3 linked regions of the Diceros bicornis minor genome follow. The protein of the gene in region 1 purifies or fractionates together with the protein of each later gene. This does not show direct contact. Links are inferred from orthologs where the notes say so. Each region holds a gene or a part of one and is shown in the gene's direction. Other genes may lie near its edges. The genes, in order: UTRN, MARK2 and DTNA.

The links.
Region 2: the proteins of UTRN (region 1) and MARK2 purify together in Homo sapiens (affinity purification with mass spectrometry; 4 studies listed by BioGRID and IntAct, with this or other methods). This does not show direct contact. The link is inferred for Diceros bicornis minor from reciprocal best matches to the Homo sapiens genes UTRN and MARK2.
Region 3: the proteins of UTRN (region 1) and DTNA purify together in Homo sapiens (affinity purification with mass spectrometry; 3 studies listed by BioGRID and IntAct, with this or other methods). This does not show direct contact. The link is inferred for Diceros bicornis minor from reciprocal best matches to the Homo sapiens genes UTRN and DTNA.

The regions. Positions count from the first base shown.
Region 1 is NC_080778.1:23,466,211-23,473,292, forward strand, and holds the start of UTRN (utrophin), read left to right. Parts: upstream 1-4,072; 5' UTR 4,073-4,229; intron 4,230-7,082.
Region 2 is NC_080770.1:9,074,012-9,081,443, reverse strand, and holds the start of MARK2 (serine/threonine-protein kinase MARK2), read left to right. Parts: upstream 1-4,412; 5' UTR 4,413-4,919; coding exon 4,920-4,973; intron 4,974-7,432. UniProt on the Homo sapiens protein: Serine/threonine-protein kinase. Involved in cell polarity and microtubule dynamics regulation. Phosphorylates CRTC2/TORC2, DCX, HDAC7, KIF13B, MAP2, MAP4 and RAB11FIP2. Phosphorylates the microtubule-associated protein MAPT/TAU.
Region 3 is NC_080755.1:28,770,928-28,778,328, forward strand, and holds the start of DTNA (dystrobrevin alpha), read left to right. Parts: upstream 1-4,363; 5' UTR 4,364-4,563; intron 4,564-7,401. UniProt on the Homo sapiens protein: May be involved in the formation and stability of synapses as well as being involved in the clustering of nicotinic acetylcholine receptors.

The DNA.
Region 1 (7,082 bases):
TCTTTACTTTCTTGGCTTGAAAAAGTTAAGGAAAGGTGAATATTTGTCCTAATGCTTTGTTCCTCTCACCTTTGTCCCTCTCCTAAATGCTTCCATGTGGGGCTTCATTCACCGTCAACACCAAGGGTAAAATGGAAGGAGTGTCTTGCTTTTGTTACATTATTTCCTCACGTTTCTATTGTTCAAAGAGAAAATGCATTTATATACTCTTACACAAAGTTTAGTAGAGAAAGTTTGCTTTTTTATTAGGACGCAGTTCCCTGTATATGAACAATATCTACGTAGAATCATGTCTGTCTATATTATATATACACACATGTCTTTAACTTTTTACATACACTACTCAGATCATAATATTTTCTCCAATGTCAAGTGCTTTATCCCCATGAGAGCAGTTCAGTTTTCTTAAATTTTCACTGTTCTGTGGTGACTGTTGGGCAATTCAAACTTTGGGTTGATGGTAGACCCAGGGCCACATTCTTATCATTTTCTCCAAATGTTCTACATCCATCTTTGGCGTGGGCAGACAAAACCCCACGGAGCACTGTTGTTATAGGCCCATGTCCCTGCTATGTGGGCTGCAGGTGGCATGTTGGTGGCAGGTGTACTAACAGCTACCACCTCCTAGTGACCTGTTCACTTTCCCCCCAACTCAGTCCTCAGGCTGTCAAGGAAGACCCCACTATCTGTTCTATGGAAACGTAGCTCTCTGTGGTCAAAATTTCCCACTTGAAGCGGTTCCCCCACTTACAAAGGACCAGCTTGGGATGTCTTGGTCATCCCACCAACACGAAGTTCTCTGGCCTCTTTCACAGGTCACAGGGAACGCACCATAAGCCACTTGAGCTGGGATGTGGGTGGAGTCACTCCCGCACAGATGGTGGCTGTCATCACTTATGCCCCTTTCCTTATGGCCTTCGGGGAAGCTTAACTAAACTTCCCCTCAGAGCTTAAAAATGCAGCAATCTCAGGTCCCCAAATATCTGTGTTTTTCAAAAAATTTGAATTAAATAAATTAATATTTGTATAGTACCTTGCAATTTACAAAGTGCTTTTTCATTTACATAATTTTAAGTAAGGAAATCCTCAAACACTCCAATATGGTTTTATTTTAAAGGAGGAAATCTGAGTTTCCAGCAACTCAACCGGGAGACAGTGCATGATGGGCAGGTTTAAGGGTCTGTAGGATTATCAGTTAAAAGAAACCTCAGTCTCCCTGGATACAGCCAGACTCAGGTAGCACTTGATCTGTCTTTTTCTTGGGCACTTATCTTGCATATATCCCTACTTGTTTACGTGCTATATCTCACTTACCAGATTTGAAGTTCAAGGCAAGATCTCTATCGAATTTATCTTTGCATTATTCACAGTATTCAGGGGGCCTCAAGGCCCCAAACTGGCATTTGTTAGATGAATGAACGAATAAAAGTGAATGAATGAATTATATCCATTTCAAGTTAATCCTCTGGATTTTATTTGGGTTTTATGAAGAAAATCCCCCCAAGGAAGGAAGCTAAGCTAGCGACTTTATAAGGAACACTATCTTTCAGGACCTCCTACCCCTCACAGCATTTAGGGACTGGGGAACCTTCCACTTTATAACTCATAAAAGGCTAGTAAATTCTTTCTGAAAAATTCGTTTAAGTCCCCTAGCGGCTTATCTTTACTAACTCGTAAACTGTTAACTTTCAAATATTAAACCAGCAACATGCCAAAGCTAGCTTATCAATCACCCTTTCCTCTTTGTTTATGTGAACTAGGAACTTAGGTTGCTGTTTTTTCTTCCTCCTCCCAAGCGTGATGATCATAGAAAAGAATCACAGGAACACATGGGGAGTGAAATATGTACATAAGAAAAATACACAGCACAAACTCTTCTCTTCCCAAATATTTTTGATCACCGCCTCAGCCTTGAGACAGGCTCTAGAATAGATGTATGTGCGTGTGTGTGTGTGTATTGGAAAAACAGAAAAAAAAAGGTCTGTGTAAACACTATTTGTAGGTATGAACGAATATGAAACGAAATTTCAAGATTTTTTGAATATTAAAAACGACACTAAGGGGCCGGCCCGGTGGCGCAAGCGGTTAAGTGCGCGCGCTCCGCTGCGGCGGCCCGGGGTTCGCTGGTTCGGATCCCGGGCGCGCACCGACGCACTGCTTGGTAAGCCATGCTGTGGCGGCGTCCCATATAAAGTGGAGGAGGATGGGCACAGATGTTAGCCCAGGGCCGTCTTCCTCAGCAAAAAAGGAGGAGGATTGGCGGATGTTAGCTCAGGGCTGATCTCCTCACAAAAAAAAAAAAAAAAAAAAAAAAAAAAAAAAAAAAAAACGACACTAAGAAAACTATATAAAATAAATACACCCCTGGAACTAGGACCAAAAAGTCAGTAAACTGAGATGGAGTGAGTGGAGGGGCTAATGGAGATTTACATCTAAAGGACAAAACAATCCCTCGAACTACCCGGTTTGCCTGGAGTGGGGGCGTGACTCACATTTTGGGATAATCTGAATAAAGGGGACTGTGTCTGCGCCGGCATCCATTCTCGCTCCCGGCTCCCGGCACGCACAGTTCGCTCCGGCAGCCGGCGGGCGCGCAGCCCCAGGCCACCGAGCGCCAGGCCCGCTGCTGCGGGCGGGGAGGGCGCGCAGGGCGGGCGCTGATTGACGGGGCGCGCGGTCAGGTGACCCGGGGCGCCACGTTCTCGGAGCCCAGCCGGCGGTGGCCGCCTGGGCCGGGCCGGGGCCGAACCGGGAGCCGGGAGAGGCTGATCGTGCAGGACAAAGTTGCTGGGCCGGCGGCGGCGGGGCGGGAGAGCCGCGAGGGAGCGGGAGCGCTGGAGCCCGGCCCGGCTCGGCCTCCTCCTCCTCGGGGAGGGGACCCCGGGGTGCGGGGACGCGCGCCCGGTGCCAAGGGGGCGGCAGCGCGCGACCGATCGGTCCTGCGCCCCACCCTCCCTGCTCGGCCTCCTGCGCTGCGCTCCAACAAAGGGGCAGGCCGGCGGCGGGGAGAAGGAGGAGGAGGAGGAGAGGGAGGAGGAGGAGGAGGAGCCGGAGGCGCGAGCCGCTCGCGCACAAAGTTGTGGAGTCGCCTTTCCTCGGAGGAGGGGAGCGGGCAGCCGCCGCCTGCCGCGGGCTTTCTCCCGCCGAGGGGCGAGGAGGAGCCTCCGGCTCCCGAAGCCGATTGGGGAATCACGGGGAGCGGCGCCCCCCTTCTTTTGGGTCATTTCTGCGGACGGAAAACTCTCGTGTTTGGCAAACTTGGTGCCTACGCGCCGGTTCCAGGTTTGCACTTGGACTGTTTTGTTTTTGGCGGAACTACCAGGCAGGAAGATTGCACAAGTCAGGGGCGTTTTCGATCGGGTGTCAAATTTTTTTTTTTCTTTCGGACCTCGTCTGGTTCTCCACATATCATTTTTGAAAAACGGTGCATCGTATCACCCACGCGCGCACACTCTCCGCGATTACTACGACCCAACTCAGCAGAGGAGCCCCCGGCCCGCTCGGGACGCGGGGGCGGCCGCTGGTCAGGCGAGCAGGTAAGCCCGTGCATTATTGAAGCCTCGGGCTGGGGACTGTGACCGCGGCCCCGAGGAAACGGGGTGTGGGCTGCGGGGAGAATGGACTTTTCTGCGGCTTCTGCGCCCAGGATCCGCATGCCGAGCTCCTTCTCAGGGCTGAGGCTAAGATGTAACCAACTTTTGCGTGCACTTTCCTCGGAACCTCAGTTCAGCTCCCCTCGGCGGGAGAGAGAATGCTAGAAACGTGGAGAAAGCTCGCGCGTGGAGATCCTCGGAATCCATATAGTAGCAAACGACTCAAACTCGTCCAGCTGCTTCTGTGCTGCTGCCTGGCTCCCCCAATCCTCTTCCCCTCCCGGGTGAGGGGGTCGCGCTTCCGTGCCTCGCGCGGTGAGAAGCGCTGGGCCAGTGATCTCGAGAGGGGACGTGGCCTCCTAGCAGTGCCTGTCACACACACCCCAGCCCGGGGAAGGCGGGGCCCGGAGGTGTCCGCGCGGAGAGGGTGGGGAGAGGCTGGCAGTGTGGGCGGCGGGCAGGGAGCGATTCCCAGCCGTCCGCCTGGCAGGAAATGTGCCTGACCTTCAGGCCGTTGCTGCTCCCGAAGGTGGGGCTCCGGAGAGGGGACGAGGGCTGCCCAATCCGTGCGTTCTTTCGCGCAGTCGCCTCTTCTGGTTTTCCGAACTCTTGGCATCTCTTGCTGCAACTGATAAGGTAATTTATGCCCCAGTTTGGCCCCGGGTCGGAAGCTCTGGTTGCCCAAGGCCACTTAAAAAACCAACACAGCACTCATTTTAGGCTGTGCAACTTTTCGAAGGCACGCTGTTCAAAGAGAATTTTTTTCCCAAGCCCCAGATTACGAAAGGGACTCGTTCCAGGCTTGTTCCAAGAGGAGAAAACGTACCCGACCTCCAAGAGCTAAGGGGGGGGGGGGTGCCGCACTTTGTTTTACACTGCACTGGAGAGCCCCAGGTCTACCCTGGGTCTAACGGCCCTGATCTCTGTGATGTCCCGGGAGAGCCTCCTCTTTCCCAGCCTCCAGGTCACCTGGGTCACCAAGGTCTCCCGGGTCAGTTCCCCATACGGCGTATGAGAGGGTCAGTGCACCAGTGGCCGTGGCCGGAGCGCACCGAGTTCGGGGGAGCCCCGATTCCCCGGGTCGGGGCCGGAGCTCGCGGCCGCATCCATCCCTTTGTCACTCGCACGGGCCTCGGGGAGTCGGGTGGGCCCCTCCCGGCTGGGGGCCGGTGGGCGCGGGGGACGCAGCCTGCCGATAGCGCTGCGGGGCTGGCGAGAGCTGGAGGAATGCGAAGCTCGCGGCTGTCTCAGCTTCCAGAGTACCAGGCGGCGAGGGCCAAGGTTTACGCGGAGTCAGTCCCCGCCCCCTTTACCCGCGTTTATGGGACCGATGAGACAGCTCTTTAACTCTCCTTTGGGTGTTTACTGACAATTTATTGCCCCTGTAAACAGTATTAATCACTGTACTATTAACCTTCCCTTGGAGCGCTTCCTCGAGTGAATGGCAGTTCTTGGCAAGGGGCGGTTTCTTTTACTATGTCTCAAGCAGAGCGGCCAAGTCGCCCGCTTGGACTTCTTTTCCACTATGTCTAGCATTCCGAGGTTTTGCTTCCAAGTGTAAATGAATGAATAGTTTTTGCCCGAGGACCGACACCGCATTTCCATCATAACTGCACATTATTGAGCAGACTTGTATTCTTGCGTTGTGTAATTCCAAATGGTTTTAAAATTAAAACAGTTTTGCCTTTAAGGCCTTCTCCCATCCTTTCACGCCAGGTTTATTGCTGCACACGCATGGTTTCTGGTCCGTGTGACAGCCAGAAATGTTCTAAAGAAGGAGTTAGTGAATAGAAAGTTGAGTGTATTGGTTTTGGTGAGAAAGAGCTGGCTAAACTTTGCAGAACATCATTATGGTGAAACAGAAAGCTAGAGCAGTGGGAACAATAAATTACAGTTGCATAGGGCTTAAAGCTCGTGAAGCAATATCCCTGTGATTTGTTCTCAGTTTCTCCCCTGGCTTTGTGTGGAAGATGACCTTCCCTCCATCTCATAGATGTGGAAGTGGAGGGTCACACAGTGTTGGTGATCAAACTTTGATTCTGTTTTCTGAGGACCAATTATAGATCTCTACAGCATTTAGCGATTTAGAAGAAGGCATCTTTTGCCATAGGTTACTCAGCCTGGAACCCCCTGGCCATTTGCGGCAACATAGTGGCCCTCACTGTTTAAGGGATCTTCTGTGATTCTCCCTCCTTCCTATTCTTTCCTTGTCCTCTGATCCTCCTTTATGCTGTAGCTTTGTAGCATATAAGGGATTTTGATTATCAAGAAGAGAAGATTTGTAGGGGCTGGCCCAGTGGCGTAGTGGTTAAGTTTGCCCACTCCGCTTTGGTGCCCCCGGGGTCGCAGGTTCGTATCCCGGGTGCAGACCTATGTGCTGCTCATCAAGCCATGCTGTGGCAGGTGTCCCACATATAAAGTAGAGGAAGATGGGCATGGATGTTAGCTCAGGGCTAATCTTCCTCAGCAAAAAGAGGAAGATTGGCAATGGATGTTAGCTGAGGGCTGATTTTCCTCACCAAAAGAAAAAAAAAAGATGAGAAAATTTGAGAAATTATGTTAAAGAGAGTGGCAAAATAACATAATGAAGAAATATTAATGCACAAATGGAATAAGATCCTGTGTAAATGGTTTGCTTTTCTCTTTTATGCAGTGGGAAAGGTCTATGGGAAGTATTGAGATGAAGACCCTTGGCTAAAACCAATTCTGAAGGAGAGCATTAGAAATCTCTCTCAAAGGGAATAGTTAGTTGCTTTCCAGGAAAGAGAATTTTTGTTGAGCAAACCTGATTTTCCATAATAAAATTTTATATGCATTCTTCTGAACAAAGTTTTTGGTTCTTGAATATAATAAAATAATTTAAGAATTCAGCAAATCCTTTACAGTCACGTACCCCTAAAAAGGAACTTAATCACATAATAATCCATAGAGTATTAATCCATAAAGTATTAACAGTAGTAGACCAATGTAAAAAATGAAAAAAGTTTTTTACATGCTCATAAAATCCACCAGACTCATGATCCAATCCACATATTCCTTCCTACTGGAGAGGAAATTGTTATAAAGCTTTAGCAATCTATCATAGTTTTCATCTGCCTCAAACTCTTTAACACTTCAAACTTTTTTCCAAGGTAAGTTTTTCCAAGGAAAAAAAAATTATTATGTATAGCCTATATTTATATTATAATAAATTAATATTATATGGTATTTCCTTGATGTTATATATCATAAAACATTATAATATATAAAATACTAAATATTACACAAATATGTAAAATGAAATATAAAATAATAATACTGTATGGGTTGTCCTTGAATCAAAGAATTGAGTTGTTCAATCCTAGCTGGCAGTAAACTCTGGTTCTGACATCTTTTGTTATATGTGAATTAATGTCCATTATTTGCAGATTAATATTTGGATGTATTGGCTGTTATACTCCCAATTAAATGATAAATTTATTTAATTGGCATTTGGGGTGCTCTTAAGGG
Region 2 (7,432 bases), on another chromosome or scaffold:
TGGGAAAATTGAGGTAGAGAGCGGTCAAGAGGCTTGCCTAAGATCACATAGATACTAAGGAGCAGCCTGGTGGCAGGGTCTGTGCTTGCTCACTGCCCTACACTACCCGCCTCTCACGGGCTGAGGCTGATGCTCCCGTTCCCACTGCTACTGGCAAAGGACCAAACTTCTCTACGCTTCGATTTCCTTATTAGTAACCTGGGGGAAATCACAGTGCCTCCTGCACATTGTTTGAGAATTAAATGTGGTGACGTCCACACAGTACACAGCTCTCGATGCGTGTTAGCAAAACCAAGACAGAGGAATGAGACTGGCAGTTCCAGCCCTTGTGTTCACGTCCTGGTGGTGGCTGGGCAGGGGGCACCGATAATAAACATATTCTATTCCATCAATTGTAAGATGCACATTTTTTTCACATTCTAACGTCTCCCAAATGTCCTAAATTCAACACGGTGTATGTCAATGTCGATAAAGCGCGTGATGGAAATTCAGAGACATCAAGAAAAATAAAGCTCTGCGAGATGGGAGGGTCTCTGGCGAGTCAGAGGGCGTGGGTGGGTCTTGCTTCACCCCCGGCTTCTGACTCTTGATCAGAGGGCAATTCTGAGGCAATCCTGCACCTCCCAGAGTGGCCTGCCTGGAATGCGCATCCTCTCTGGCTCCTCCGGTCGGAGGGAGAAAGGTGAAGATGAGTTGCAGTGTTTTGGAGGGATGAGAACAAGGATGTCTTCCACTCCAGCACTCTTACCTCTTCTTACTTCTTTCCTCACAGCTCATGCATGTAGGGGGATTGCTCCCCTGCCAGAGCTGGGAATCCCGTAACCTCTGCCTTCCGGGATCCCAGGGGGCATCACGGCCGCCCTGGAGCACGGCTCCTATTGGCTGGTGTCCACCTGGTCTAGGGCCTGTGGTAGCTGCCTTTACTCTTGTGTTTGTTTTGTCTTTAGTGTTCAGGTTGGAAAGCTTGGAATTATCCTTAACTTCTCTCCCAGACCCCCTAAGCCAATCCATCGAGAAATCCTGTCAGCTCTACCTTCCAGATATATCCCAAATCCTTCTCCTTCTCACTGCTTCCACTGCTGCTGCCCCACCCCAAGCCACTGTCATCTCTCACTTGAATTATGTAAAAGCCTCCTTCCTGGTCTCCAGGCTTCTGTTCCTGCCCTGCCCCTTCGCTCTGTTCTCAACTCAGCAGCCCATCAGATCATGTCCCTGCAGCGGCTCCTCATCTCACTCCAAGGGAAAGCCAAAGCTGTGGCCTAGCTCCACATCCCCTTTCTGCCCTCTCCACTACTCAGCCCCTCACTCTGCTCCAGTCTCCTTGGCCTTCTTGTTCTTTAAACAGCCAGGCCCGCTCCTGCCTCAGGGCCTTTGCACAGGCCATCCCCTCTGCCTAGAATGCTCTCCTCCCAGATATCCACAGAGCTCACTCCCTCACCTCCTTCAAGTCTGCTCAAGTGTCACCTTCTCAGTGAGGCCTACACTAACCACCTTAGTCTTTCACCTCTACCCCCTCACCCCAGCAACCCTGACCCACCTTAGCTGGCTCTATTTTATTTCCATGACACTTAATACTATTACGTCTGTTGTCTGTCTTCTCGCAGTTGTAAGTTCCCCAAGGGCAGAGATCTTTGTTTTGTTCACTGATACACCTAGAAGAGTGCCTTGCACATAGTAGGTCCTCAATAGAGATTTGTGAATGAATGAATATGCAGATTGGAGGGGGGTAAATGTGCAGTGATAATTAATCTTTAAGGAGAACTAGGAAGGCTCCGGGATTGGAGAAGGTGACATCTGAACTGAATCTTGAAGTACGTCCGGAAGCTGAGGTAGGTGACTGGCCATTGATCAGCCTGAACAAAAGCATGGAGGTGAGAGAGCCTGGTGGCCGGGCTGCAGCTGGGGGGAGGTGTCAACCAGCAGTGCTGAGTTGGAGAGGATATTAGCAAGCTAAGTTGGGGCCAGATTGTGCAAAGCTTCCAATGCAGGCTAAAGGCTTTTTTTACCTCCAGGACTGGTTACGAAATGTCTGGGGCCCAGCGCACAATGAAAAGGCAGGGCCCCCTTGATGAAAATTACAAGAGGATGACAGCAGAGCATTACATCAAACTCAAAGCCCTTCTAAGAGTAGGGCTTTGTGTGACTGCACAGGTCCTAGGCCCATGGAGCCAGCCCTGCCTGTCCCTCAAGGAAGCTGGTGAGAACCTTCCAGCAGGCAGAGATGTAATTAGAGCTGGACTTTAGGAAGATTATTCTGGCCTGTCTGGTGGAGTACGTCGGAGGAAGTCCAGGCAGGGAGACCAGTTAGGCAGCCTTGTGAGGAAGACGAGGGGACAGGTGGGGTGGGGGTGGGGGCTAAAGGTCAGAGGGCAGGGGTGAGAACACGAGCGAGGACAAGGATGGAGAAGGTAGAGTTTGCTGAGACGAGAACCTGGGCCCTGGCAGACCCCCGAGCACACCTTCCTCTGCTCCTCCAACCTCTTCCCCTTCTTCCTTCTTTCCAGACCCTTGGAGGTGACACCGGACACAGGACTCAGCAGTGTGTCTCCCTTTGGCCACCAGAGGGCAGATCATTCTCATGGATTTTCAGAGAAGAATTTGGGGTTGGGGAGTGGAATGTCCCCTGTCCTCACCTCTTCCTCTTATTTGTCCTCACCTCCTCCTGTGTTCCTTCATCAACGGCTGGGTGCCTGGATGGAGCTGGGGCAGGGCATGGGGAGTTGTCCTAGAGTCCCGGATATTTACTAGGTCTGTAGGTGGTACCTGTCGCCTCAGGAAGTACTTTCATATCATTATCTCCTTGCGTCTGTCCGGCTGCCTATTTCTCTGGGTGACTTGGCCGAGGGCTCTGCTCTAGAAACTGTAGCTGGGAGTTGGAAGTGAAGCATCCGAGGTCCAGCCAGCACTTTTTCTCGCAATCCCTGGGGCCTCTCTGCTCCTGTACCTTTTTGGGGACTTGATGCTTGAGCCTGGTCTCTGTCTTCTGGGGGGACTCTGGCTTCTGCCCACCTGAAGCTGCTGTTGAGCCCTGGGAGGCGGGGGACAAGGGCAAATTCCAACATGTCTGGATCTGATGGGTGGGAGCCCCTTGGAGCCAGAGGAATCAGATCAGCCTCTCCCAATGAGACAGTCTAGGGGGAGTGAAGAGTGGGCTCAGTTTGCCACATGGACTTCCTGTTAGTCAGGAGCTCTGCAAAAATGAGAGGGACCTGAGAGCTCATGAATCCAGCGACCTCGCTTTATTGATGGGGAAACTGAGGCCCAGGGAAGGAAAGGAACTTCTCCAGGTGCCCATTCTTTGTGCCATCCTGAGGCATCCTCATCGTCAACTAGTTTCTCTCTCTTTTTCCACGAGTTTTCTTGTCTTAGAAGGGATAACTGAAATGTGAATTAAGATGAGAATTTCTCTCCTGCCTTACCTTACAGGGGTATTTAAAAAGGTAACTGGTGTGACTCAACATTACCACAGTGTGATGTCATTTTGTGCTATTTTGAACAATTAAAAGATTTTTTTTGAAATTAAAAGGTCACTGGAATTTAAAGATGTTATTTAGAATGTCATCCCTGGAACAAAGGCACGGATTCTCTCAGTATAGGGAGGTCAAGGAGCCTGCACTCAGAGATGTTACGTGATTTTTCCAAGGTCACACAGCATTTTCAGTCCACAGAACTGGGCTTGGGATGCAGGGCTGGGGAGACTTCTGCAGCCTCCCGCAGCTGGGAGCCAAGGACGCTGACCAAGTGTCTGCCCAGGTCCTTGAGGTGCCCTGCGGACTTGATGTGGGTGTATGGGTAGATAAATAGAAGCCAAGACAGACGATGGCAGGGGATGAATGATAGTAGACAGACAATAGGCTAACACTGCATTTGACGGGTGACATATGTTGATAGACAGGTTGGGTGACAAACGAGATGGATTTTATGAGCTGACCAACAGACGGACGAACGGACGCGGAGAAGGGAAGTTGCTTTAAAACCGAAGGATGCCAATCGCAAGGACCGCTGACAGCCTTATTTTCTATTTAGTCAAATAATAACAAGCACAGGTGATCCACGCTCCCTTTCAAGATTTGAAAATATCCGAAAACTGACGGAAAGAAACGAAGAGTCAGATTCTGGATACCTCCTGAGGGAATGACCCGGGGCTCGCCAGGCCTCGGGTGTTGCCGGAAATGGCCGACGACAGCCGTCGGCAGCGGAGCGGGACGGGGGCGTGGCCGGCTCACGGCTCGCAGAGCCTCTTCGGGTGTTTCCGGAAACTGCCGAGCGCCAGCTTGAAGCGGGCGGGGAAAGGCCTGTGGGCGTGGCTGGAGTACCCGGGGTGGCTTCGTGGATTTCCGTAAACAGAGCCGAAACTCGGTCTTCGGCATCAAGGAGGCGCGCGCGTCCCCAGGGGTTACCTTCTTCGGGTGTTTCCGGAATTCACCCGTAGTCCGTGGCCGGGAGGAGGAGGCGCGCCCCCCTCCCGTTCCTAGCCGCTTCGGATGTTTCCGGCTGCTGCCGGCGGAAAGAGCCGAGGGCCGGCGGTGGTGGCGGCCATGTTGGGAGCAGCAGGTCCGGCGGCGGCTGCCTGTGTGCCGGGCGCGGAGCAGTGCCGCTGAGGGCAGGGGAGGAGCGAGGCGGGCGGCCGGCTGCGGCGGCAGAGAGTAGGCGGAGCGGCGCGGCCCGGCCGAAAGGCGGCACAGCCCAGCCGGGGGTCGGGGGGGTGCGGTCCGGAGCCGCTCGGAGCCGGCGCGGCCTAGCCCGAGCGGCGCATCCCCGGGCTGGCGTGAGCGGCTGCCCGGCCTCCCCGCACCCCCGGCCGGGGCCCATGCGGCGGGTGCCCCTGCTGTGAGAAGCCCCGCCCGGCCGGGCTCCGCGCCTTCCCTTCCCTCCCTTCCTCCAAGCTTCTCGGTTCCCTCCCCTGAGATACCGGCGCCATGTCCAGCGCCCGGACCCCCCTACCCACGCTGAACGAGAGGGACACGGAGCAGGTAAGGAGCCCCGAGGGCTCCCCGGATTCTCTGGCTGGGCCCCTGCACCTTGCGGAGCCTCCTCCCTCCTCTGCTCTCCTCGTGCCCTGCTGCCACCCTGCAAGCCGCGGCTGCCCTGTCATCTGGCTCTCGGCCCCGCACATCCCCCTCCGAGTCCGGTCTTGGGACCCACCTCGTCCAGACTCCAAGCTGCACACTTGTCTTCCTGCCGACCCCCCTTCTGCCCTCACCGCCCTCCTGCGCTCTTCCGTGTTACCTCCCCAGCTTCCCCTTCTCTTCCCTTTTTCTCTCGGGGGCCTTTTTGGTCTTTCTCCACCCACGCTTAAAGCAGCCACCCTCCCACTCCTCGAAGAGCACTCCGCGGTGTGCCCCAGATCGTCGTCCACCCCTTCCTCCATCTCTCTCGCCTTGCTCCCCCTCCGCCCGCACCGGTTCTCCCAGTCCCTGGTTATCACCCTCAGGGTCCTTCCCCGGAGTGTGTTCTCGATCCCTGAACCCTGTCCCCTTCCAGTTCCTCCTCTTTTTTACCCTGCTTCTGCCCTCTCCAAATTGCGCTCTCCCTCCTGCTTGCAACCCACCAGCTCTACCCTCATCACCTTTCCCAATCGCTCGCCTACTCTGTGCTCATCACTTTCCCTTCTTCTCTCCAGGAGCTCCCTGGTGCCTCGCGCTGGCATTTGTTGCTTCCGTGTTTCCCATACAGCTGTCATGCGCATAGTTTTCCCACAGGTTGTCTCTGGGGTTCCAGTCGTCACTCCCTTCAAAGTCCTCGGATCCCTCGCGTTCTCTTCCCCCCAGAGTTTGGCTTTTAAGTCTCTTGGCCTCCTGTTTCTCCCTGTGGGTGCCTTACCAGCCTTCTCCCCGGGCTCTTCCTACCGAGGGAAAGACACTATTTCAGCCCCACTCCGTTAACACAACCTGTTGCTTAGTCCTCTCCCGGGCCTCGCTGCATCACCGCCCTTGCCTTTCTGTTTTCTTACATCACAGCACAAACCATGCCTTCCTGTCGCTTCACTCCCGGATCCGTCACTTTTCATAGTATCTTCCTCCTTGCTTGTTGTCTTCCGGTTTCTTTACCCTCACTTCATAATCCTTACTGTGTTTCTTAATCAGGATTGCCTTTCATCTCGGTATTAGTCTCCTGCCTTCTTCACACCGTGTTTATTTCCCCACATATGCCCCTCTCCATCCCCTTCCCATTGGCTAGTCTTTGTAACTCCTGGGCCCAGGCATTTTGCATGCTCGTTTCTTGAGCTACACGCTCCCTCTCATCCTGGCAATCACTGCCGTCATTTGTCACCCAAGCCTTAGCCTTTTCTCTGTCATCTCACCTCTGAGCTGAGAGGCATCCACTTCCACCTCTCCCCTTTGTTTCACCATCTCCAGTGTCCCTTGCTGACTGCTCTGTGGAGAGTCCCCTGCCTGTCACGCCCTTCTTGGTGGAGAACTTTACTAGGCCAAAAAAACTTGACTCGAAAAAGGAGCTCTTCTCCCCTGGGGCTGCAGTGCTTTTTGCATCCTTTTCCCTCCTTACATCCTTGCTGCTTTCCTTTTGTTCCCTTAGTTCTTCGGAGCCCAATAGAACCGTCGTTATAGTCTCTTGCATGTTAACCTTTTCTGAAAAATCTTCCCTCTTTTCATTTTTGCTACGTTCTTTTCTTTTGTTACCCCCGGCTCTGTGTCCCCTGGGCAGTCAGACACTCAAGAGGAGTTCTGGACTGAGTTTCTCTCTGCAGTGGTTCTGGACTGAGTTTCTCTCTGCAGTGGTTGACCCTTTCATTACTGACGGATTGATTGCTTGTGGGGTTGAAACGGGCTGAGAGGGAGGGATGGGTGATTTCCATTTCATCACTGGGTTTGGCAGCTGGTTCTGCAGGGGCCTGAGGTCTTTGGAAACAGGAGCATGGTCTGTATCCCACAGGCTTTCCCTCGCTTGCCAGCTGTTTCTCTCCTTACCGGGAACCGCTTTCTCCAGGCCCTCTTGACGTTGCCTGTGCCATTCCTTTTCCCATCACAACCTTTGTTTTAGCAAGTGAACCCTGCCTGACCAGAGAACTTTCCCAGACTGTTGATTGTGAGCTGGTAGGAGGAGGCCAAGTGACTGACTGGCACCCTCAGGCATTTGGGGAGTGGCTTGGAGTGGAGTGCCTACTCTCTCAGCGAGCCCGTGGGGGGCATTGTGTTCAGCAAAGTGGAGTAACAGACTGCCTCAGTGTGGTTTCTTTGTGCTGTTTACTAAATGTAAATGTATTCCCACCATGGTCTTTTTCTTGTGATGTGTGCATTGATTTCCTCTCTTCCCTACATGCCCAGCATACTGCTGAGCGCGTAGTAGGAACTCGGTGCACACCATGGATTTCATGCTAGCGGTAATCGGTGAACCATTTGGGAGTGTAAGCTGCTGTTTGATAACTTGGTCCGGGGCAGTGCCTGCATACATTGTCATCCTGTTCCAAACT
Region 3 (7,401 bases), on another chromosome or scaffold:
AAAATACACTTGACCACTTAATACCATTCTTAGGTTATGTTCTCTCCTGCAGTCCGAGGTGAACAGGGAGAATGCAAACAGCATTTCTCCTGAGGATGTTACTCAGATGGGAAAATCAACCAAGACACTGTGGCTGAGCACCATAATAGGTACTGCCAGAAGCAGCTGAGTTATGAGGCACTGCCTTGTGTACCGGAGGCTTCAGCCTAGCTGAGACGGCAGGGAGCCTAGGAGGGATGAAAGGAAGAATACCTCTGCCCTCCTTGACTTGCAATTACTCCCTAAGAGCTGACAGGACCATGCCTCAAAGCAGAATTTCTCAGGCAAATGGATACTAACTTTAACTACATAAATAGGCATCTTGAAGTGATGCAAAGATACCGAATGAACACTCTTGGTGTTTATTAATACAAGCACAACTTCTCCCCTCAAGTTTCATGAATGCTTAGGATACAATGTACACATTTCAGGGGAGGTCAGAAGTGATGTTCTGTCTGAGGCTGATGAGTTCCAAAATGGGAATGTGGTGAAAAGTTGGAAAACAGCAAAGGGTTCTGACTGCCTTTGGGAGCCAGAGAGAAGGTAGGGCTTCTATGGGAAGAGGGGAACATTAACAAAAAATGGACAGGAACAAAACTCGCCTACTTGATAATTCTACCCGGGGTCCACATTGACCTCAAAATCTGGTAGCTCTCACACCAAAAAAATCTAACTATTAATTCCCCAAGTCACAGCTCAGTTGATCCATCTTCTTGACCTGTGTTGGAGGTCTAATGTACTTTTCATTCTTGAAAGCTAATTAGTTTCTTGGGGGAGAAGAATTTATGTATATTTTGTGTTCTTCAAGCGCAAATATCATCCTTCCTTGAAACATCAGTCTACATCCAGTGGGTATAAGAGTTTCTAATTAATAAAACAATAATGTGTTTACTTGTTCAACTCTTTTGAATCTACTTCTTATACTCTTGTCATGCAAGTCTTTGAAATACTCCAAAATTACTACTTCCTCATGCAACAAAACTATTACCGACTAATAGATAATAGTAATCATTCTGATTTGACCTATAACACATATACACTCTCTATATTACTATGTTTGTAAAACACATACACACACATATAGTTTCACTATAACATAGTGAACATTCTGATTTTACCTATGGCCATTTGCATTTCAACTATAACCTATTTTAAAAATCAAGAAATTATAAGAGCAAGATAAATATCAGTAATTTATTTTCCATGGTAAAAATAGCCTAAATTAGTATGAACCACAAATATATGTGCATAGCCATATTAAACATATTTTTCCCTAAATGAAGATTTTCTGACACAAACTGCTAGTGATTGTTGAGCCACTGAAGTTGTAATGCATTTCTGAAACGTTAGAATCATCAAACCTAAATATATCTCTAATAATTTTGTATGGTAACAGATGGTTACTAGACTTATCGTGGTGATCATTTTGTAATATATATAAATGTCGAATCACCATTGTATACCTGAAACTAATATAATATTATATGTCAACTATACTTCAATTAAATAAATAAATAAAAATTGAAACAAACAAAAATCTGTCCTGAGTATGCAGATCAAAAAGAAAGGGCTCTTGATATATTGCTGTTCAGTGTGGGCCTCTACCCCTTGAGCAGAAATCTCCCAGAGATACTGCAAAGCCATTAGTGTCCGCTACATGCTAAAGCTTCTAGCTTAACTCCAATAGCCTGTGTAAAATTCTGGATTAAAAATCACTGTTGTGATCTATGCCCAGGAATCCATCTAGTTGTATTGTTTATGGGGACTGGAGAAAAGCATACGGAGCAAAATCTTTAAGGTTGACTGACCAGAAAATATAAACGGTATTTCCAAAACAGTGAGTGAAAATTTTCAGCACTTCTCCATTCAATGTGTAGAAATCTAGGGAGAATTATTGTATTCTTTTCATATGAAGCCAACAAAGGTGCCAACCTCTAATTATTATTAGGCTCAATAGAGACTGTATGAAAAGCACTTTGAAAATCTGAAGTACTTTCAAAATGTAACATATTATTATTACTATTATTTTGCTTTAAATATTGCAAGGATAACTTTTTATTGCCCACTTTAATAGACCTGTGACTTTGATTTTTCATTTATCTCCCTGAATTTCAATGTTAATTTCTTCTTAAAAATTTGTATATAATGACTTATATATTTGTATATAATGACTATTTGATCCCATTGTCATTTTTATTATTACATTATATTGATAGGTCAGTCTATTTATTTCTTCTAGTGGATCCTATACTTGAATCCACTTTTTAACAAAAATCCATTAAAAAAAAATCCACTCAGGGGCCAGCCTCATGGCATAGTGGTTAAGTTCATGCACTCTGCTTCGGTGGCCGGGGGTTCGTGGGTTTGGATTCTGGGCGTGGACCTACACACTGCTCGTCAAGCCATGCTGTGGTGGCGTCCCACATACAAAGCAGAGGAAGATTGGCACAGAGGTTAGCTCAGGGCCAATCTTCCTCACCAAAAAAAAAAAAACCCACACAAATCCACTCAATTTTTAAAATTGAGATCATTCAGGGTAGCCACTACAGGATCAATGCCTGGTGTCTTTGCCGTTAAATTCTTGTAAGCTTGTCAAAAAATATTGTTTGATAACAACAAGAAAGTCTATGATTTTCTAAATTTGCTTTCCATGCAGCAAAATTTAGAAAATTTTAGCTTTCACTTGGAAGTTGATCCTCTTTTTCTTCTCCTTTTGTTTTTTTCTCTTCTTCTCTCCCTCTTCTTGTAATTTCTTGATTCCCTTTTATTCTTCCCTTCCTCTCTTCTTTTCACTGCTTACTCTTCTACCTTCTCCTTGATCTATTCTCTCTCACACCATTTCTCTTTTCTCTGGATTATTAGAATACTGGTTAGCTGCTGAATTTTCTTATATATGCCTGAACAAAGCCAACTGCTCTTCGTGAGAACTTTTACAATATAAAAACAAATCCCCCACTTAGTGTTTATGTAATTGTGGTGCGTGTATAGATGAATGGCAAAGTTAACATATTACCTTGGCCATTGAGATACCATGGAGGTCAAAGACAAGTTGAAATATGGGGCACACAGACAAATGAACTAATTTTAATGTGGAACAGAAATTAAGTAGGCAAAAAGAAAAGGAGTGTATCTTGTACTTTGTGATAATTCATAACACCAAAAAGAACAAAGCATTTCACCTGTAGATCATTTAGTATATATATCTTATCTCAACAGCTAGACATAAACTAATGGAAGACAGGTTCCATGTATTAAACTTCTCTATATCCTTCAAAACATAGCACAGCTCTTTATATACATCAGGCACTTAAAAGGGGTTTGAGTGAAATATACAAATCATTATGAAATTGGTGACTACCCCAAAAACACTGACTGTAATTGCTTGATATTACTATCTAAGGAGTTATAACAATGCAAAGGAATAAAAATGTACATGCAGATACACAGACATATAACACATACACATACCCCCAACAAAGGAAGGAAAGAAAATTATACGAAACCATGAAACTGGAGATATATACAAATACACAAGAGAAAATTATGTGAAAACATATACATATAGAAAAATAAATTTGCAATCTTAGATAGTAGATAACTTAAAAACAATCAAGAATATTTCCATTATTTTCAGTAATCTGAGTTTCCAGGCATTGATCATAGTGAATAAGCAACCTGTGAGTAGCTGTGCAATTAATATTTATAGTGAGACATTGACTTATGTGTACTTGGATAAGTCGTGTTATCTGACCTACACTTCTGTGTCTCTGAAGTGACAATTTGCCTTCTCATCCACCTCCTTTGGGAAGATGCTCTGCGAATAAATGAGGTAATGTTTAGGAAATGTTTGCACCTTGGAAAAGAAACCACTGCATACATCTCAGATATTATTATTACTCCATATTGAAGCCTGGTACATTATTGCCTCTGTTTTAAATTGAAATCGTACTGTTTGAGTCCCTGGGTTCTGACCAAAATCTGGGTCAACATAAGAGGATGATTATTTTTAATTTTAATTCTGAGGCTCTGTTCGGATCCCATGCACGTGTGAGGGAAAACTGTAGAAAATAAACAAAGCACATAAATCAAGCTTTGAAAGAGAAAAATCTCTATCGGATGGATTTTTTTTTCTTCAATGAAGAGTGTGAACACTGTATTTCCCTGGAGGAATATTTCGGTCCAAGAAGGAGGATAGTGCATGCAGTGTGAGTGTGTGTGCGTGTGTGTGCATGTGTGTGTATGTGTGTGTGTGCTGTGCGTGCGCGCCCGCGGAGAGAGGGGCGGGGGAGGCGGATGAGGAGGATGAGATCATAGTTTCAGGATCCTCAGGAAACCCTGGTACTGGCAGCAGCCAGCCTCTGCTGTGCCCACATGACCCACAACTCTGGCAGCGGACCCGGCACTTCCAACATTATTAAATAATAAGAAAGCGGCTCCTACTCCATGCCCAAACCTCCCTACAGACCAATGGACACCTTCTAAGAGTTTGGCGAGTCGGTGACTGAGGCGCCCGTCCATTCCAAGGTGTGTGCAAGGCGTTTTCTTCCTTGACAGCTCCAGAGTGGGGGAGGGCGCGGGGGTGGAGGGGGTCCGCGTGCCGGGCAAGGAGTGGGCGCCGGGCCGGGCTGCTGCGCGCTGCCCCCGGCCGCCCGGTGCCGCGGAGCAAGCCGCGAGGCGGGAGATGCACATGACGCGCAGCCCCGATGCGCAGGGACCGCAGCCGCCCACGGCGCCGGGGCGCGGGCACAGGCGGCTGGGCTGCTGGAGCAAGGGCAGGCGCCGCGCACCCGGCAAAGTCAAGAGTGGAAGCGGGCGGCGAGCGCCGGCGGGGGAAGGGAATCGCCCCAACGCCCACTCGCGGGGTTCCCACCTGTGCGCGGGCGCTGGCCGCGGCTAGCGCGAAGCATGTGCCGGGCGCCGCAGCCAGGACTGCGGCGCGGCGCCTCCCCGGGCGGCGGGCGGCGCCTCGGGCCAGCCGAGAGGCGGTAGCGGCTGCTGCAGGATGGCCGGCCCGGGGGCGCGGGGCCGCGCAGGTAAATCTCGGCCGCCGGCCGAGGCCGGGCCGCGCCGCAGCTCCGGCTGCCGCCGCTGCGCTGCTCCCGGACTGGCGATGGCAGCCGGCTCCCTTGCGTCTCGGGTTGAGTTGTTTTTGTTGTCATTGCTGCCCTCTTGGTCGTCCTCTCGGGCTGAGCTGGTGGGAGGTGGCGTGGGCACATCCACTGGGGATGACTCGCACGTTGGAGAGCAGTCTGGGGGGTATTGACCAGGAAATCCGCGATGGGTTCCTTTCCAGCCAGCGGCGTCTGCGCGTGTTGCAATGCACTGCGGTGCCCGGGCGCATGGCTGACTGGGAGTGGGCACTTTGCACTGGGGACGGCGGGGGGCGGATGGGTACGGAGGTGAGTGTCTGCAGCTTTTGTAGCCTGTTGCCCACTTTGGAGTTCTGCGCTGGACAGAGGACGAACGGGAGGTCCGTTCTGGTGTCCGGAGTGGGAGGTGGAGAGGTGTCTGTCAAAACACCAAAGCCAAGGAGAGAGAAGGGGTGGGGACGGCGGTGCTGGGGCTCCATGGTACCACGCCTGGGACTTGGTAGTAAAACTTTCCTCTTTGGCAGGCTTGGGGTCTGACTTTAAGAAGATAAGTGTAGAACTTGGGGGAAAAATATTGGATAAACACTTGCAGTGAAACTTACCACCATTAGGTTCATTCTTACTCTAAAAAATGATGTTTGGAGTTGATGTTTAAGTTTTCCTGTTATCTGTTAGAATTAGTTGATATTTAATGTGTGTTTGTGGTTCATAACAATGATCTTTATTGTTGAAGTATACAGTTATTGGTTTCTTATACAAAAAAACATTTATTTTTAGAATAAATGTTAGAAGGTAGAAAAGGTAGAAACTGCAGGGAAAAAACCCAGCTCTCCACACGTTCCAGGCATAGTTCTATGTGCTTTAGCTCTGTTCACTTCATTCTTACACCACCATAAGGGGTAGGTAATAATATTAACCACCTTTTACAGATGAGGAAATCCAGACAGAGGTGAAATAACTTACCCAAAGTTGTACGGTTATTAAACGTTAGAGCCCAGTTGGGCTTTTGGTGTACTCTTAACCAACACTTTGGGACAATTAACTCTTTTTCTAATTAATAGTGTAATTATGGCACATATCCTTTGAGTAGTTTCTTTTTGTCACAATTAACTGTTTCCTACAACAGTTACAGATTACAACAGTGTATCTATCAGCAAAGTTAAGGTTTTCAGCAGTTAAGATTTATCAGCAAAGTTAATAATTATAAAGCAGATGGCTGAATCTAAATATTTGTTTGCACTAAACCTCCTAAGGTGTTAGTCTGTTCTTTGCTCAAAGTGTGGCCATCATTTTCTTCAGAACACCATCTTGCAGAATTTTTGAGCAAGTTGTGTCATCTTTAATCCAATCACTCTGACAAGAGGTTAGGCAGTTTTAAAAGAAGAACTATGCAATTCTCTTTAACTGTCATTGATTAAAAGCACGCTGTATTTTGAGGGTATTCGTGTATGTCATGCGTTTTAGCCAATTGTATGCACTTTATACAAAGTAGCAATGAAGACTAAAAATCAAATTTTCTCATCAGTCCTAAGTCAAAATAGTTTAAAAATCTCCATTTGTTTTAAATGAACCATCATGTGAAGAAAGGTCTCAGTGGAGTGAACTACAACTGCACATATTTAGAGAATTATTCTTCATTTGAGCTTATCATGGAGCTCTCATAATATTCATTTTATAGGACAGATGTCTCTCTTAAGTCTTCATCTGTTATTTTTTCAAGCAAATTTAATTGCTTCTTCACATGAGTTTCAACATTATTTTGACATGCATAGATTTCCTTAATTCTTGTCTTTCGGTTTAATTAAATTCAGTATAACTATTTCAAATCCACACTTATTCAACATGATAGGTGAAAAGAGACTAGAATCCAACTGAACTATGTAGAAACCTGATCTTTGGATATGAAAACAATTGTCTTGCTCTTCAGTGGTTAACGTCTTCAACACCCCAAATTATGGCTACATCTTTATTTTGGGATGCTAGAGTGCAATGCTGTGGTCAGAAAAGTTGCATGCCATCAGGTACAAGTGTTTTCGATATTGAAATTGAATTTTCCAAGTCTATTTATGTGACTATTGATTGTTATTAAAGCATAAATCCTATGATACATACCTATATCCTTTCTTAACTGTCTCAACTGTTTCCATTTTCTGGCTTCTGTTACTTATTTTAGAGAAAGCATTTCCTTGATGCTTTCACCTCACCTGGTAGATACGACGTGACTTTTTCCTTTCAAGTCCCATCCCTCTAGTTTTTGGAGAATCGTACATCT